Linked DNA regions of Bombyx mori. The protein of the gene in region 1 interacts with the protein of each later gene in a biochemical or structural test. Links are inferred from orthologs where the notes say so. Each region holds a gene or a part of one and is shown in the gene's direction. Other genes may lie near its edges.

Region 1 (5,067 bases):
TCGGTTCTGAATTTAAATTGTCGTGAAGATCGATATTCCCCACGTACCACAGTGCTACGGCGCCGCGGCGGTTATTCTGCAGAAACAGGATTGGATGACCTAAGTTTTCTAGTGTCACCTTGTTACTAAGGGACAATTTACTTCGCTTGCTATCATGGCATAGAGTCGATCGAGTAGGAACGCGGATCGTTCGCTTACTGACTTAATGTGGGGACCGAATTTCATCCTTCTGTTCTCCTTTCTGCACTTGGTCTACGTTGCCCAGGGCTTACCCTCAAACGGCCATCAAAATTTTGATGGCGGGCATGGCGTTACCCCACTTAATTCTGGGCGAAATGCTAGCTGTGGTATCGTGAGGGCGAACTCTTTTGAAGAGTACTGTTACATATGTTCCTCAATAATAACGCAATATAAATAATAATGCAGACTAAGGTGCATCGTTTCATATAAAGACGATTTGTGGCTAAAGCGCGGCAGAACAGATTTGGCATGAGTAGCGGAAACACACATCGTTTGTACTATTTACTATTTTTTTTAGAAAATAAACTCAGTGCCAGCCACAGCTTCCTTTTTTTTAAAGGATCCACACCGTAACAGTACGGCTGTGATTTTCGTGGGGTTAATGTCGACGCGCATGCCACTTCCGGAACCACTGTCCTAAAGTGGTGGCCGCGATCTTTAGTTTATAATGCATGAACGACATTTTCCTGCTCGAGTATGTAGCATGTTAAAAATTACTTGTAACATTATATTGTAATTATTACATACATTGTAAGATGTAAAACTAGATTTAAATTTTAATAATTAATTGTGTGTTGAATGGACAAATGTTTCTCATAACTTCACTCTCTTCTCCTTCTTTGTGTGTGTTCTTTCTGTGTGCTTAGTGAGAGTTTTTTAACGTTCTGGATGGTGTAAAAGTTAGCTTATATTTGTATGGAATAGGATCGTTTGAGTACGTTTGCCGCTAGGGGCACTGTTCCAAGTAGACAAAATTGGGTTAACTTTTACGCTATCGAAAACGTTAAAAAACTCTCACTAAGCACACTGTTCTTTGACAATAAACTGATAGTGTTTTAAACTGTGCGGGTGGTTTAATTTTACAACACTTCAAGTACTTGATAGGCGTATCATTAGCGAAAAGAGTCAACTGTAAGCTAAAAAGTAGTAGTGAGAGAACGGAGCCTTGTAGGACTCCGGCTGACGTTTGTCGCTTCCTGTCGACCAACTCCGTCTGTTCGGGATTAGCAGTTTGAGCACTGGTGGAGCATTGCTCTTGCAGTATATCTGCTAGTTGGCCTGAGGCCCATACGAAAAGATGCGTAGTGGCGATAGTTTCCAATTGGAGGGTCGCCTAGCTAGTCGCCAATATGCTTGATGAAAAGGTGCGAGTCCTTCTAAATAACTTTCCCACTTTGTATTTCGGGTTTCATCTAGGTGTAGCGGCGTAGACGACGCATCCGAATCTGGTTTATTCGCAACATCGTGAAAGTTATTCATGAATATGTTTTAAGTAGATACGTATTTCACTAGAAAAAATAATTGCTGTCTGCTGGACTCGAATATTGGTATTATCGTATCGTTCGACATAAATGCATCGGGCATCATTTAGGCCACAACCCATTCCCGATCCTGCGGACAGAATGGAAAGCAGTCGACGTCGCCCAAAACACGTCATCTCGGATCCTCCCGATCCACTAACGGTGCTTTTAGGTACTTCAAGCACCGGTCACCGTTCTCGTCGAACCCGACGCTTGCGTCGAAGGGCTCGACGAGCAAATTAACTCTCAGACACAGCCCACTGAGTTTCTCGCCGGATCTTCTCAGTGGGTCGCGTTTCCGATCCGGTGGTAGATTCTGCGAAGCACGACTCTTGCTAGGGTTCGTGTTAGCAACATCGTCAGGTTTGAGCCCCGTGAGCTCACCTACTAAAGTTAGGGTTACGCTGACATAGCCTCTCAAGGCTCTCAGCTTAGGTAGGAGAAAAAAAAAAAAAAATAGGCCACAACCACTCCGTCATCATGATATTCCATAATCCATTTTAGGATATTCGTTCTCTTCATTCACTTGTGTTTTAATATTCGTGTAACAGATAAGGCCTTTTTTTATATTCGATAATTTATGTCATGAAAATAAAATTAAGAGTCACGGCTGTACAATGTGATTTCTTCGCTTTCTTGTATTCGAAAACTAAGAAATTTCAATTGTTTTGTGTTTCTTGTTTCTCCGTTCCCGTGTTATTTATTTTATAATTTACAATATTCAGCAAAACAACCCATATGAGGAAATATAACTACTCATAAATTAAACCAATATGTCCAGATCTAGGGGATTTGAAATAAGAGAAGGGTTACGTTCTCATAAAAAGCTCAAAGAAAATAAAAATGAAAATGAGACTTCTGATTCTTCTGAACGTAAGTTTAGATAAAAAATAATAAGAATAATTATTTTAAAAAAAGTAAATTAAAAATCGTATTAACGTACTTTGACTGACCTGGTGGTGCAGTAGTTAGCGCCCTAGACTATTGTACCAGGGCTCGTGGGTTTGACTCCCGGGCAAACGTGTACCCATATCACGGAATCCTGATTTGGGGCCGGATGATCGTGCATGACTTGTTTACTGTTATTTATTATTAATTACATATGTACAAAACAATTCAATTAGTTGAAGTCAATTAAATTTGCATCACTTATGGATACATAGTTCAAAAACTACTGGTCAGATCTCAATAAACTTTAAATAGGAGCACATGAGAACCATCGCTCTTCAAATAAAAAAGAATCATTAAAATATCCTAAAAAAAGTTCTAAGAAAAGTAAAAAAAATGTATATCTCCTCCCCTTTTGAAGTCGTTTTTAAAAAGACAGAAATATAACGATTTGTAAATAGAAGATAGATCATATTACTTTCATAAGCATCGTGAATGTCAATCAAAGTATTACCTTATGTATTAGCCTTAATATTACACTTATTATGAGAAGAACCATCTCTCAATAGATTGAACCTAATTATTTTATTATATCTGTTATATAACCACCATAATACCTGTGGTGAAATGAAGTAGACAGGTATAATTTTTTCTTATAAAATACACACAACTTAATACATGTTCCTGAATGACTTCCGCCATAACTTAGTGAATAAGAATCAAACACACAAAAATGTAACTTATACAATAGTTAGTACAACTGAGACAGTTGTTTTCAAGTCTTATGGTGATTGGCAGCATTCACATTGTGATTTTTATATGCTCTGGTAACCACCTAACATCAGATACTACATGAGATTGTTCACCCGATTACACAGTGAAGACAAAACTGTGTCATTAAACACATAGACATCCAATAAATAAGTACATTAATAATTTAAAATAATTATTGTATTTATCTCTAGGTGAACAAATATGTGAACTTTTATATAAGCTACCAAAACTGGACAAGATTTTTGAAGTGCACCGAAAGATAGGAGAAGGAACATTTAGTTCAGTGTATTTAGGCTCACTGAGACAGCATTCATCTTTGCTAGACAAAGACAAGCGTTGGTTTGCCATAAAACACTTGGTACCTACTGCACATCCAGCTCGGATTGAACACGAGTTAAGGTGTCTACAGGACATAGGGTATGTTTTAAAAATGAATCTGCATCATTACTAATATACACAGGCATTATGTCCCATATATTTATTTGACTAGAATTTATTTTAAAGTACAATCTACGTAATTACTTATCACCCCATGGGATGTTGTTGCCATCTGCTCATCTAAAAATGACACAGGAATCTGCCATTCATGGATCAAGGTCAAATCTACACAAGGGCACGTCATTATGTGTGAACATCATCATTTGTTGTTACAGATGAGGTTATTAAGTCGTAATCCTAAATCTTGTTGAATTTATATCTATATGCTATGAGTAACAAGACCATCATTAACTGAATAGTACCACATTGGCACATGAGTTAATGTGTGTTTGAATGTCTAGCTTGTGTAGAGGTATTTATCCATTAATTTAATTGAACATTTTACGTGTGTTATATTACAGAGGCAAACATCATGTGATTGGAGTGGAGCTCTGTCTTCGTAATCTCGACACTATTGTATTTGTAATGCCCTATCTACCTCATAAAAAGTTTTCTGTGAGTATGTCAGTCAATCTATATAAACAATATTTCAAACATTAATAGCATCATGGAACATTTACTTATCTGTTGGAAAAATAATACTCAAAGTTTCAGTTGAATCTAAATTAGTCTTATGGAAAGATAATATGTGTTAATGAACATTCAGTTTCATAAAGTATTAGACAGAAAATCATTAATTGTGTCAAAACTGCCATGACAATAGTTAGTTTTTTAATGAAATTATTTTCATTTCAGAAAATATCATATAAAGTTAATATTTTACACAATGCAAAGTACTAAAAGCAAACAAGCTTAAGAGTAGAATATTTTTTTTTGATAATTGATTAATGATGATGTTGGTGATTTGATTTTTAATGACCAGGATAATGGCAGATCAATATACAATACAATAAATTAAATAAATTCATTAACTTTGATTTTGTGTTGAAAACAGTTTTACAAAACATTAAAACTCTTTCACACCTTACAGTCCAAAACTGTTGTGCGACCATGTACTGAAAATCTATACTAATATTATAAAGAGGAAAGATTTGTTTGTTTGTTTGTTTCGAATAGGCTCCGAAACTACTGGACCGATTTGAAAAATTCTTTTTCCATTAGAAGCCGACATTGTCCCTGATGAACATAGGCTACTTTTTTTAATTTTTTTTTTTTTTTTAGTTTCATGTGTGTTTTAATGTTTCCGTAGCGAAGCGAGGGCGGGTCGCTAGTATCTAATATAACACAACACATTCGACACAAGCGACACATTCTCGATCCTGCGGACCGAATGGTAAACAGTCGTCGTCACCCAAAACACGTCATTTAGGATCCTCCCGATCCACTAACGGTGCTTTTAGGTACCTCAAGCACCGGTCACCGTTCTCGTCGAACCCGTCGCTTGCGACGAAGGGCTCGGTGAGTAAATTAACCCACAGACTCAGCC
Region 2 (4,351 bases), on another chromosome or scaffold:
TTATTGTTTAGGTGGGTGGACGAGCTCACAGCCCACCTGGTGTTAAGAAGTGGTTACTGGAGCCCATAGACATCCACAACGTAAATGCGCCACCCATCTTGAGATATAAGTTTTAAAGTCTCAAGTATAGTTAAGTTAGATATTGATTAGTCTATTCATGTCGGGTGCTTCAACAGTGTGGCCTTGCCCATCGTTTCTGCACCCTCCTCCTCCTCCTCCTCCTCCTCCTTCTCCTCCTCCTCCTCCTTCTCCTCCTCCTCCTCCTCCTCCTTCTCCTCCTCCTCCTCCTCCTTTTCCTCCTCCTTACGTCGGTTTCCTCATTACTGAGAGTCGTGGTCATGGCCTTGAAACAGTTTAAATGTTTCTCTGTCCATTATCTGCACCCAGTTAATTTAAATGTTGGCTTAATATTTTTGTTATATCATAAAAAACCTAACCATTAAATGAGTTAATCAACATAAATTATAATATAATATGCTAAAGTATAGTTTTTAAAATAGGTAACTAGATTTTGTGTGAAAACAACAGAATGTTGTTCATTTATAAAGTCTGGCCTTGGTATAGAAATTTTACACTTTGTCTTTTTTTTTTCTACCTATGCTGATTCTCCTTGATGTGTAGGTGAGCTCACGGGGCTCAGACCGGAAGTAATGCGAACACTGACCCTAGCAAAAGCAGTGCTTCGTAGAATCTACCACCGGATCGGAAACGCGACCCACTGAGAAAATCCGGCGAGAAACTCAGTGGGCTGTGTCTGAGGGTAGTAGATTCTGCGAATTACGGCTCTTGCTAGGGTTCGTGTTAGCAACGACGTCAGGTTTGAGCTCCGTGAGCTCACCTACTAGTTAAGGTTACGCTGATATAGCCTCTCAAGGCTCTCAGCCAAGGTAGAAAAAAAAACTGTGAAGATCCGGCGAGAAACTCAGTTATGGCTTTGTGTCATGTGTAATGTAGTGGCAGTTTTTGTTAAAACGAAACATGTATTGTTTAGGAGGCAGGCAAGTTACTGGTGGAGTACTACGCGTTGCTGCGGGGCCGTGAGGGGGGCGCGGGGGGCGGCGCGTGGCGCATCACGGTGCGCCAGCTCGAGTCCATGGTGCGGCTCGCCGAGGGCGTCGCCAAGATGCACTGCAGCGGACACGTCACGCCCGCGCACGTGCACGAGGCCTACCGGTACGGTCTGCAGGGGACACTGCCTTTTCTTTTGTTTTTTGTTTTTGCTGAGTTGGGTGGACGTGCTCACAGCCCACCTGGTGTTAAGGTGTTACTGGAGCCCATAGACATCTACAACGTAAATGCGCCACCCACCTTGAGATATAAGTTCTAAGGTCTCAAGTATAGTTACAACGGCTGCCCCACCCTTCAAACCGAAACGCATTACTGCTTCACTGCTGCGAAGATGTTTGACAAATGCCTGAATCTCGCTTACATTTTCAAGATCAGCTTGTACAAGTTACGAACAACATTGGGACCGTCGGTCTACCGAGCAATATCATCCGCTTGGTTCAAGATCTTCCCTCTGTGGTATCACCCTACACTAGCATCAACTATTCGATGTTTTTAATTGAACTTCAATTAAGTTTACTCTATACAAATGGCTGAAGAAAATTTTTTGTAATGATATTTTTTCCAAATTTTAAACATTAAATGGCTCTCCTGTGAAGTCGCAAAAATGCCGCTTAAACCATATAAACTTTCCCGTCGATATATAAGATACTACTAAGAACTATTATATAATGCATCTGTGCTTAATTATTTTTTCTTTGTCCTTATCGCACCACACGGATTCGGCGCAACGTGTCCTCTTTTTTCATCCCTGCACGCACACATTTCCCTCGCATTTCCTCTTTACACGATCCATCTAAGTGTTTTTAGAACGCCCGCTCTGTGCCTAAATTTTGTGACTTATATACTATTTTTTAAAAGATTTTATGACCCGGTAATTAAGGCCTTTAGGTCAAGTCTTATTTTAATTTATATTCTTATTTTTACGAAAAAGATAATGGAGTGAAATGAAATGAAATGAAGTGAAATGAAGATGATTAATTTGAGACATTAATGAACTGGGATTAAATTAAATGAAATGAGATGAGATGATATGGGATGAAATAAATGATATGGGATCTCAGTAAAATGGTGGTCATTTACTGAGATTTTTTCAGTGAACTTTTTGGAGGATCTTGAGAAGTTACGTCCAGCAGCTCTGTTTCATTTTCCTACATTTGTACACTTTAACAGATATTAAACAGTTAATAAACCACCGTTATTACACACTTAAACCTGAAGAAACACCAAATATACAAAATAAAACAAATCACACCACTTTACTCCTCGCGTTCCCGCCAAAAAGTCTCACTTATATACTATAAAATATTTTTCACACAGATTACTAAATAAATCCATTATTCGCGTGGAGCAGCCCGATATACATTTGGACGAGGATGAACCTCAATGCGAGCCGAGCATGGATGTGGATCAAGACGAACCTAATGGCACTGCAGGTAATTAAATATTTCAATTAAACATATATACTAATTTGTTGATAGACCACATCATTCTTGGAACCAAGACTTTGACCTAACATGGTGGACAAAAGCATTCCAATTTAGATATTTAAGCGATAAGTCTGGAATCAATTCAAAAAAACTGTTTACCTAAACACAGTCTAAAATCTAGGTCTACAATACGAAAATTAAGTATATAGGTACAAGATTTTTATTTAATATTTTATTGCTTAGTTGGGTGAATGAGTTCACGGCCCACCTGATGTCAAGTGGTCAGCGGAGCCCATAGACATCTACAACGTAAATGCGCCACCCACCTTGAGATATAAGTTCTAAGGTCTCAGTATAGTTACAACGGCTGCCCGACCCTTCAAATTGAAACGCATTACTGTTTCACCGTAGAAATAGGCAGGGCGGTGGCACCTACCCGCGCGGACTCACGAGAGGTCCTACCAACAGTAATTACGCAAATTATAATTTTACGGGTTTGATTTTTATTACACGATGTTATTCCTTCACCGTGGAAGTAAATCGTGAACATTCGTTAAGTACGTATTTCATTAAACAAATCGGTACCCACCTGCGGGATTCGAATGTACCGGACATCTTATCCTTTAGGCCACGACGACGTTCTGTTGCATCCATGCGAATGATATTCAAGGGTAATGAAGACATCTGTAATGATGCAAACGATATAGTATAACTATATTTTCTCAGAAAAACAATAGCAGTTGCGTTAAGAAAAAATAATATTGCCATCCCAAATATAACTGTCGAAAGGTACTCATTCCGAAAAATTGTAATGTCCATTAAAAATAAAACTGTAATAAACTAGTGTCAAGAATTGTTCATTGAACATAATATTTGTTAAATAAAATTGAATATGCAATTTCGAAAAGGGCACATCTCTGGAAATGTAAAATGTTCAGGAAATGAAAAAGACTGATTATTTTCTAAAGCAGTGTAAATTTAAAATATTAACTTTTGAGATATATTTTAGTGTTAATTAGCAATTAAAAATTACTGGAATTATTATAAAATGGGTGTAGGTAAGCCTCAAAACTACATGTATATGAAAAAACGTATTTGACAAAATAACCGAAATTGCATATTCAATTAATCGATTCTTGTGTTTTTCTTCTAACCGATTCATATTACACACATTTCATTAACATTCGATTTCAGAAACTCCCAGCAATGGTGATTCGGCGCCTAAAAAGAAACTGGCGCTTTCATTCGAAGAATACAAAAGCCTCAGTAATATGCTGGTCGTGTACATGAGGAAGGAAGAGGCTGAAGCGGAGACGAGAGGTCCAAATTATATAATATTAATAATATATAATATAGTAATATAATATTATATTCATATATAATATATAACTAACACGACTCTGGAATACACACACAGAAACCATCGCCATAGTAATAGGCGCAACAGGCGTAGTGGCAAAAAGTATACATAGATACATAAACAAACTGGAAGCAAATATAAACATACAAATAATGCAAAAACAAGCAGCCATACACGCATGCACAATAATAAGTAAAGTTTTGGGTAATACAGTTTTCATAAATTCAAGGGAGTCTGAACCTCCTCTTCCCTGAAGGTTTCAGGGCGGGAGCTAGGAACTAAACCGAGTCCAGAACTCGAAAGAAAACTCATTAATAATATAATATTAATAATAGTTAATAGTAATACACAAAGGTTTAGTTCGATCGAGTCCCATCTAATTTGTACATGCAAGATGTTTGTATTGGGTTTGGGTATACTCGTTTTCGTTTCTTATTTTTGTTTTCACAACACAGAAAAAGATCTTTGCTTCTTGTAGAGTCATGTAATGTAATTA

The links. The genes of interacting proteins can lie anywhere in the genome.
Region 2: of the proteins of cell division cycle 7-related protein kinase (region 1) and DNA replication licensing factor Mcm6, one has a biochemical effect on the other in vitro, tested with the Homo sapiens proteins (2 studies listed by BioGRID). The link is inferred for Bombyx mori from reciprocal best matches to the Homo sapiens genes CDC7 and MCM6.

The regions. Positions count from the first base shown.
Region 1 is NC_085121.1:308,558-313,624, reverse strand, and holds the start of cell division cycle 7-related protein kinase, read left to right. Parts: upstream 1-1,884; 5' UTR 1,885-2,314; coding exon 2,315-2,414; intron 2,415-3,394; coding exon 3,395-3,620; intron 3,621-4,042; coding exon 4,043-4,136; intron 4,137-5,067. UniProt on the Homo sapiens protein: Kinase involved in initiation of DNA replication. Phosphorylates critical substrates that regulate the G1/S phase transition and initiation of DNA replication, such as MCM proteins and CLASPIN.
Region 2 is NC_085132.1:5,457,357-5,461,707, reverse strand, and holds part of DNA replication licensing factor Mcm6, read left to right. Parts: intron 1-991; coding exon 992-1,173; intron 1,174-2,385; coding exon 2,386-2,501; intron 2,502-3,689; coding exon 3,690-3,815; intron 3,816-4,351. UniProt on the Homo sapiens protein: Acts as a component of the MCM2-7 complex (MCM complex) which is the replicative helicase essential for 'once per cell cycle' DNA replication initiation and elongation in eukaryotic cells.